2 linked regions of the Arabidopsis thaliana genome follow. The protein of the gene in region 1 interacts with the protein of each later gene in a pairwise test. Each region holds a gene or a part of one and is shown on either strand. Other genes may lie near its edges.

What was found.
Region 2: the proteins of AT1G68220 (region 1) and ARAC1 interact in a protein complementation assay, tested with the Arabidopsis thaliana proteins (one large-scale study listed by BioGRID).

The regions. Positions count from the first base shown.
Region 1 is NC_003070.9:25,568,222-25,572,497, reverse strand, and holds AT1G68220 (aerobic coproporphyrinogen-III oxidase (DUF1218)), read right to left. Parts: upstream 2,407-4,276; 5' UTR 2,177-2,406; coding exon 2,084-2,176; intron 2,003-2,083; coding exon 1,794-2,002; intron 1,240-1,793; coding exon 936-1,239; 3' UTR 765-935; downstream 1-764. Other genes in the region: AT1G68230 (Reticulon family protein), read right to left, coding at 1-143, 223-313; APRR6 (pseudo-response regulator 6), read right to left, coding at 3,196-4,276.
Region 2 is NC_003071.7:7,737,985-7,742,780, forward strand, and holds ARAC1 (RAC-like 1), read left to right. Parts: upstream 1-1,802; 5' UTR 1,803-2,328; coding exon 2,329-2,427; intron 2,428-2,620; coding exon 2,621-2,708; intron 2,709-2,797; coding exon 2,798-2,907; intron 2,908-3,006; coding exon 3,007-3,070; intron 3,071-3,544; coding exon 3,545-3,609; intron 3,610-3,700; coding exon 3,701-3,766; intron 3,767-3,856; coding exon 3,857-3,958; 3' UTR 3,959-4,296; downstream 4,297-4,796. Other genes in the region: VPS35A (vacuolar protein sorting-associated 35A-like protein), read left to right, coding at 1-20, 266-334, 409-489, 593-700, 790-893, 966-1,079, 1,159-1,360. UniProt on the Arabidopsis thaliana protein: Inactive GDP-bound Rho GTPases reside in the cytosol, are found in a complex with Rho GDP-dissociation inhibitors (Rho GDIs), and are released from the GDI protein in order to translocate to membranes upon activation.

The sequences.
Region 1 (4,276 bases):
TATGAAAATGAATAGTAAGAGGATCTGGCAGAGGAAAGTGATGAAAGGATATTCAACCACTTCGAACAAGAACCATATCAATGTGAATACCCCCAAGATTGTTCCTGATTCTTTCTTGTTCTTCCAGAACATTATATCAGCAACTACAAGCATTTCAAGAGAAAAATCCTTTAGAAAAAGAACCAAAATTAATGTGAAAACGGAAAGAAAAATATATGTTACATCGTCCTCCTCCTAGATTGTGGTACAAAGATCTTCGTCGTCTCGATGAAGAAGCTCTATGTTCATCCATTTCATATCCAAAAACCGCCATTTTGTTTTGGTTTCAGGTTTTGAAACAACTGTGGCCTTTTTTGTGAGCTAAGGTCTAAGATTCATGGTTTATTATATAGTTCCGAACTTTTAGGATAAGAACGGTTTTGTTCTTGGATTCATAAAGAAGAAAGCGATTTGAGAAAAAACAGGAAAGGTATGGCTTTAGCATATTGCAAAAACTCATCATTTTATTGCTACATGAATAAATTAGTTTTATATCTTGTAGAGAATCTTTCTTAACTTGAGTTAATGATCAAAAATGTATTCCAAAAAGTTATCAACATTTTGATCATAGCTAAACCCTTTCCCATGCAAGTATATTCCAAGTTGAGGCTAGATATGTTAGGAATGCAATCATTGGGCCTCTTCGTAGGCCCAGTCCATTATGTGCCCATATTGTTTTCATGTCTAAACTTTTAGCAGATGATAACAATCTAGATGAGGTCAAGTGGGAAGCTAAGATGATGACTGAGCCAAACCAAATTTCTCATAGACATACATAAGCCAACATTATATCTGACGACACAAGTTTATATTGACAATTAACAAACAACTATTTTTTTTATAGTTTTACCCTGTTTTTAAAAGCATAGCCAACATAAGACCAAACAGAAACTGGTTTAGACCTTGTTAAACTCGGTGTTTTGTTGCTTTGGAGCATCTGAAGGAGTGGTCATACCAATGTTAATGCCATCGTTCTGATGCTTCTCCCATCCGCCAGTATCAGCCTTAGAATGAGCCAAGTAGTAAAGAATGGTTGCAATCAAAGACATGAGAGTGAAAGCAGCTCCAGCAGCAAAGACTCCAACGGGTAAGACGGCACACGAAAGCTCTTTCCCTTTGTAAATGCCTTCACTTTTAGTGTGGTACGCGTTCCTCGCTGATCCACCCAACAAGCACGCCTCAGCTCCTAAAAAGCTTACCCTAAAGATACACAAAACCAATGACTAAGACAAACGTACTCAAACATAGAGATGAACTAACTAGTTCTTATTCTTGTAAGGTCGTTTCTTTTCTTATAGAATCCACATAGTTTGGTAAGATAACAAACTGTAAAACCAAACATATAGAATATTCAATTGTGACCATGACGAAGCCTACCACTATCATTGTCTTTAGATAGAGACATCCACAACTCACAAGTAAGAGTTAAGGACGTAAATAAGAAGTCAAGTTTGCAACAAAGTGACTTATTAATCATAAATCACATAACCAAATTTCAATACCCACTAATCTAAAAGTGTTTACTTTTCATGTTCACAATACTGAAAAGAGTTGGAAAAAACTTTCCTTTTCACTTCAAAGTTAAAACCCATAAATATACACAATCAAATCACAAATTAGTTCATTCCAAATCTAACTTAAAAGCCCCTAATCAGAAATTTCAAATTTTGGTTACCAAATACCACTTAAATCAACTCAATTTCAAATCTTGATGTACAAAAGATTCAATTAGAGAGTAAAGGAATAAACTTTACCAAGAAACAACGAAGAAGACAATAGCCCAGACAGTGTAAGAAGTACCAGTAACAAGACCCTTTCCAAAACAGAGACACTTAGTAACACCGTTAACCACCGCTTGGCTAACAAGAAGCAACCCAAACGCCGACATACCGTACACTGTCGACGCCTCAGTTCCGTACTTACAAATAGTCTTCTCATCGTACTGATCCGGAACCGGCACAGCCTGAATAAACAAGAAAACACGAATTCACAACACAAATCGGAAAAATGACAAATTTTAGTAAGAGAGAGATAAATTGGGTACGGTGCTACGGCGACGCTCGGCACCGAAGGCGAAGACGAAAGCAAGGAGGTGAAGAGCAGTGACGACGGTGAGGATTGAAACTGAAACCGCCATTGATTTGGTTTTCGTGCTTCTTTCTCTCTTTACTCTTTTGTCTTTTATCTTCAGAGAGCTTTGGGCAAGTGAAGAAACGTTAAAGTGTCCTTATAACACTGATATTTGTTTTCTCTTTTTCTCTTTTTTTAGAATTTTGAACACTAATATTTATGACTTAATTGTCAAAGTGTCTCCATCTAATCATTATATCTGGTTACTCTTTTTTTATTTTTTGGATGTGGTTTACAAATGTTTAGTGGAGAAATTTTGAGAGATATTTGATTAAGAGTAAGTAATTAAATGGGTATATTTATACATATTGTAGCTTTAAGTGGTAGCACAACCACCAGCTCAAGCATCAGAACAACAAGAAATCGACTTTGCACGCTCCATCCTTTGCCTTCAAACCCCGAAATCATGATTAGATTTAGAAACATAGTTGGAAGACGACCTTGCTAAAAATCAAAGACTCAGTAATTTGTCATTAAATTACTACGACGTAACAAAAAATAATATGATGTCAATTGAGACAAAACATATCTTTTAATTTTAGAGAGCACATGAAGTCATGCCAATGCTTCTTTGACAGATATGATGCCTTGTTCGTGGTTATCTATAGTAAATAATATTTGTTGACAAAAATATATTTCAATGATAATAGTTATAATGACAATTGACTATAATTTTGGAAGTAAAGTAGTAAACTATTATTTAAAAAAAATAAAAAATTAGATTTAGGATCAATACTAGAGCATCTACTACTTGGTCATAAGTTTTATTAGAACTGATTTTAATAGAAATACTAACTTTGGTCAAATTAAAAGTGTTTGACTACATTTTAATTAAAGACTGAGAAACAAATTAACAAAAAAAGAAAACTTATGGTACGATTAAGAACCTGAAAAACTTTTAGAATCTCATACATATTGTTTATGATTAACATACATCTATATTTATGATATGAATATGCATTATACAAAAACATATTAAATTTATAAACTACTTTTAATCTTGTTGTTCTCCTTTTTCACCATTATTCATACATCTTTATTCATCTCTTCGTTAATCCAATCCATGCATTCACGATAATCATCAAAGTTATCGTCTATCTTCATATCATCACTTTGATTCACAGATTCTATATTATGATATTCGCATGACTCCATCATATTATTTTCCTCAGAAAAACCATTGTCTTCTAACCAAGAGAATATATCCTTCTCATTGGCATCAATGTCAAAAGAAATCAGATCTTCAATCGAAATATCGTAAAGAGCATCGTTCATCTCTTCCATATTGGTTTCCAAAGGAACCATATTATCCAAAGCATCGTAACTTGTTTCACAAGAAACCAAACTCTTTTGGATGGTATTGGTTTCGAGTGAAGTTATATCTTCAGGGAAAACCCAATCTAACGGATTTGAATAATTGGTTTCTAGAATGGCCATATTAGTTTTGGGAGGGATTTCACTATGTATTTCACAAGAAACAAAGCCCACATTATTTGTATTAGTTTCTTCTTGAGGGGGAATACTTCCTCCAGAATAACCCATGCCCATATGGTTTATATCTACTTCAGAGGGAATCATATTTTCAAAAGGAACATAACCTACTTGTGAAGAAACCCAACCTATCTCGTTTGTATGTTTTTCAGGAAAATTTATGTTCATGTTGGTTTCAGGAAGAACGTAATTTGCTGTTGAAGGATCCCAATCCATATGGTTCATATTGATATCATGGTGACTAAGGTTTTCTATAAATGAAACCCAATCCATCTTGTCTATATCGGTATCCAAAAGGTTCATGGTAGGGTTTGGAAGAAATCTATTGTTTTCCTTCATAAGGCACTCATCTACTAGAGGATCGAAAGAATCTAGTATAGAAGTAAAATCTAAATCTATTTGGTTTACATCAGTTTCAAGGATGGATCTATGTGGGTGACATTGATTAGGATCATACTGCGGAATAGAAATCCTTTCGGATTCCATCTGAGATGTGCATGTGTTAGATGCACCATCATTCGATGGTAAACCATAAAGGATAGGAGAATTTTCACTACTTAAGCCAGTTGAAACTAAACCAGTATAGCTAGAGCTATCGATACTAGAGCTATCGATA
Region 2 (4,796 bases), on another chromosome or scaffold:
TATTCCAATTTCTAAATCAGGTAAGTTTCATAACTTTTCACTGCCTTGTGTGTTCAGATCTGTTTTTAGGTAGAACAATGTGTCTCAGAGCTACATTACTTTTTTAAAACTTAGCCAAAGTTAGTTCATACAAGCTGATTGACAACGTTGAAAATTCTCAATCAACAGTTTGTAGATATTAGCTAAAGAGACTGCTGTTATTGCTCTGTCTCCACTACAGTCATCAGTTCTTGTATTTATTGTTGGATTTTTTTGCTTGTTGCAGATTATCGAAGCGCTACCTAATGTTCCATCACCTGACCTGGCATTCCGGTTGTACTTGCAATGTGCTGAGGTAAAACTACGTACCTGTTTATTTAGTATGCACTTGCTCGGTAAAATGCTCACAGATCTTTCCTATTTCATCAGGCTGCGGATAAGTGTGATGAAGAACCAATTGCATACGAATTTTTCACCCAGGCATACATCTTATACGAAGAAGAAATTTCGGTTAGTTATGTTTTCGCGGACGTTCATATGTCTCGTGTCTAAACCAAAGCAAGTAGGTGAGTTTAACTCTCTCTCGTGCGTCAAAAACTTGCCTTTTGAACAGGACTCAAAGGCCCAGGTGACTGCGTTACAACTTATAATTGGAACTCTGCAGAGGATGCAAGTATTTGGTGTTGAGAATAGAGATACATTAACGCACAAGGCTACGGGGGTATTTCATCATGATATGATAATTAGTCTCTTACCATATTCAATTGTCTCTGCTTAAAGGCTGACAAGGGAAAACTTATACTCTTGCAGTATGCAGCGAAACTTCTAAAGAAACCTGATCAATGTCGAGCTGTTTATGCCTGTTCTCATTTGTTCTGGCTGGAAGATCGTGAGACCATACAAGATGGAGAAAGGTAATACTTTCTTCTGTGCGATAGAACACAGTGTGTTTAAAATAGCTCATTAGGTTTCTTACTTGAAATCAGGGTTCTACTTTGTCTGAAACGAGCGCTTAAAATTGCAAATTCGGCTCAACAAGTGGCCAACACAGCTCGGGGTAGTACAGGGTCTGTTACCCTCTTCATCGAGATACTAAACAAGTAAGCGCTTTTTATTGTTTGTTTTACTTCTCATTTTCCCAGATCAGCAAGCAGCATTATGTAATGTGAATTATGGCAGGTACCTCTATTTCTATGAGAAAGGGGTTCCACAGATAACAGTTGAATCAGTAGAAAGCCTGATAAAACTGATCAAGAACGAAGAATCGATGCCCTCTGATCCATCTGCTGAATCATTCTTTGCAACTACGCTTGAGTTCATGGAGTTCCAAAAGCAGAAAGAGGGTGCCATTGGTGAGAGATACCAGGCGATCAAAGTATAGAATCTCATGTTGGTCAAAAGAAGTCGGTTTGTTTTTATTAAAAAAAAAAAAAGCTTTGCTTTGAGTCGTTTGAGAATCGGAAAGGGACTGATATTGTGTTGCTTGCTGCTCGAAATGTAAACCCGGGTTTAGGTCTAGTTTTATTCCTCGGATTTTCAAGGCGGTTCATGGTCTGTAACTTGTGGAGTTTGATGTGTGTTTATACGAATCTTTAGTATTCTGAGTTTAACATTGGATATTACATATTAGATAATGTCCTTCATGAAAAAAGTATTCATTTTATGTATTCTGTTGAATGATTATTGACGCATAAAAACATTTTCAATACCATTGTATAACGCATAATTAACAACCTTTGTGAGGCTTCAGCCTTCAAATATATCAATAGAAATTCAGTTTACGAAATCAACTTAAAAAATTTTGAAAAAATAATAAAATTTAAAAAAAAAACAAATTGTAGGTTAAATTTTTTTAAAAACAAAATAAAACAGAAAAGAAACGAGAAAAAAAAAAAGCAAAACAATCGGAGAAAGTTGATGGAGGAGATTGTTCGTTTTGTGAACGCTTCAATGGCATAAATTTCCGGCCATCACATTTCTTCTACTTTCTCTTTCTCTCTCCCTTGTTGTTGTTCTCTAGAATTCGATTCATCGTTGTTAACGTCGTCCATTCTTCTTCTTTGATCCCTTCTTTGATCTCTCACATTTCCGATTCCAATTTAGGGTTTCCTCTCTTTTCACATTTCTAGGGTTTTTCTTGTTCCCTTTGTACCGGAGATGGTGAATTGAAAGGAAAAATAAAACGCTTTTGAGAGCTTATATTTGAGGTTGTTTCCTCAGGTTTTGTAGATCTGAGGTTGCTATTTTTGAATTAGAGATTCTTTTTTTTTTTTTTCAAAATTTTGTTTGTTGTGATCATACATAGACGTACGTAGCTCCATTTCTGGTGGAGAAGGAAGAAGAAGAGAAATGAGCGCTTCGAGGTTCATAAAGTGTGTCACCGTTGGCGACGGAGCTGTTGGTAAAACCTGTTTGCTGATTTCTTACACCAGCAACACTTTTCCTACGGTATAATGTTCCTTCCTTAGATTGAATCATATTCTGTGTTCTGTGAATTACAAGCTTCAAAATTGTCTTCTCTATTGATTGATGAGACCAAAGCTTGTGGCAATACATGAATCGATCCATAATTTTTTTTTGGTGTTATGAGGATTTGTGGAGCTTTGTATCTCATTGAATCTTGTAAATTCATGTGGAACAGGATTATGTACCGACTGTTTTCGATAACTTTAGCGCAAATGTGGTTGTTAATGGAGCCACTGTGAATCTTGGGCTATGGGATACCGCAGGTACTGACTAAATAATAGGGATCTTACTTAGTAGTAGCGGCAGCTATGGGATTTGGGGTCTGAAACTTTTGTTTTGTTGTTGTAAACAGGGCAGGAGGATTATAACAGATTAAGACCTTTGAGTTACCGCGGTGCTGATGTTTTCATCTTAGCATTCTCTCTTATCAGTAAGGCTAGTTATGAGAATGTCTCCAAGAAGGTACGTTTTTGAAATGAATGTTTGCTACAAGTTTTGATATGAATACTCTGAAGAAAGTCTTTTGGTTGTGATTTTTGCTGCTTTATCTTCGTTTTGCAGTGGATCCCAGAGCTGAAGCATTATGCCCCTGGTGTCCCTATAGTTCTTGTTGGAACCAAACTAGGTAAGCTCGTTTTTTGACATATATGTCTGCTAATTTGATTTGTTCACGTCCAAGATATATCCATGTAGTACCTTTTAGCTCTTTTGTGTCTAGCGGAAACTAGGCCTGGATTTTGGAGTATCACAAATCCTGAAATAATCTAGGTTTACAAGCTTGTCTGTGATGTTTCGTCATCATTTTTAATGAATTCCGCGATACGTTATGGATCATATCTCACATTTTCTCTTGATAGTTAACCTCCATTGTAAGAGACAACTACATGCATGTAAGCAGCTGTTGGATGTCTAGCAATTATAAACCTAATAGAAAAGGCTTATACAAGATGTTGTGCCAAAATTGGTGTAACGGATTCTGTTTCTTACTTTTAATACCAATGCTTAACTTTCGGCCTGCTGTCTGATCCGTCTAGACCTACTTTTAATAGTTATGAGTTTCGTCTGGTGCTTATGTTTTGTGTTTCATCATATATGCCAGATCTTCGGGATGACAAACAGTTCTTCATTGACCACCCTGGCGCTGTACCAATTACTACTGCTCAGGTAAACAGAATTTTTCTTTGAAATGTGTCAATTTACTTAGCCTGTTACTTAAACGAACCCTTTTAACCGTTCACCACTTTGGGCATCAAAGGGAGAGGAACTGAAGAAACTAATTGGAGCTCCCGCATACATCGAGTGCAGTTCAAAAACACAAGAGGCAAGACACAAAAACTTTCCCTTTTGTTTTGAGTACTACTCTGCTTCTTTACTTAGCTTTTCTCAAAGCTTTTTTTTAATGAAATTGCAGAACGTGAAAGGAGTATTTGATGCAGCGATCCGAGTGGTTCTTCAACCTCCAAAGCAGAAGAAAAAGAAAAGCAAAGCACAAAAAGCCTGCTCCATTTTGTAATTTCTCTACGCTTCTCTTACGTATCTCTCTCTGTCTCTCTGTCTCTTCCACTCTTCTAGTGAAGGCTTAAGAAGAAAACACATTGGGCTTAAAAATTGTTCCAGAGTTCGTTGTGATAAGCTCTCTTAATCCTTAAAAAAACGATTATTTCTGTTTATTGATGAATAGTTTCCAGCTTTAGCTGAGACCTAATATTGCACTTACCACTTCTCTATTCTTCCTTCGATTTCAATGACTAGTTGAAGAAAACAGAGATGATGGATTTTCCACTTCAACTTTACTTAAGTCTACTAATTTGAACATATTACTTGTTCTCATTCTTCCAATTCTAATTTAACAAATGGTGCAATTTGGTATATTTTATTGTCTTGAATACTTCATCCAAAAAATTGTGATGCATATAAGTCTTTAAAAGTTCTGAATGTTTCAGTATTGTGATACAAAAATCAGAATTTTGCATTCAACTATGCCAGTCATTACCTTCTTTAATATATTTTCTTATAAATAAACCTCTCAAACTCCACTTCTCATCCATCACACAATCCTCAAAACAAGAGAAACAAACCCAAAAACAGAGCAATCTCAAAAAGATGAAGCTGCTCTCTTCAGTCTTCACCATGCAACTAGCCAGCGCCTCCGTTCTTACCTCGTGTAGAACAACATATAAGTTCCAAAAAAAAATAGTCATGTTGCTAAACGATGCCATTTCACAACATGCACTTCATTTCGCTTTTGAAGTTTAACTGACTTGTGAAGAATTTGAACAAATGGCCCATTAGCTCAGTTGGTTAGAGCGTCGTGCTAATAACGCGAAGGTCGCAGGTTCGAAACCTGCATG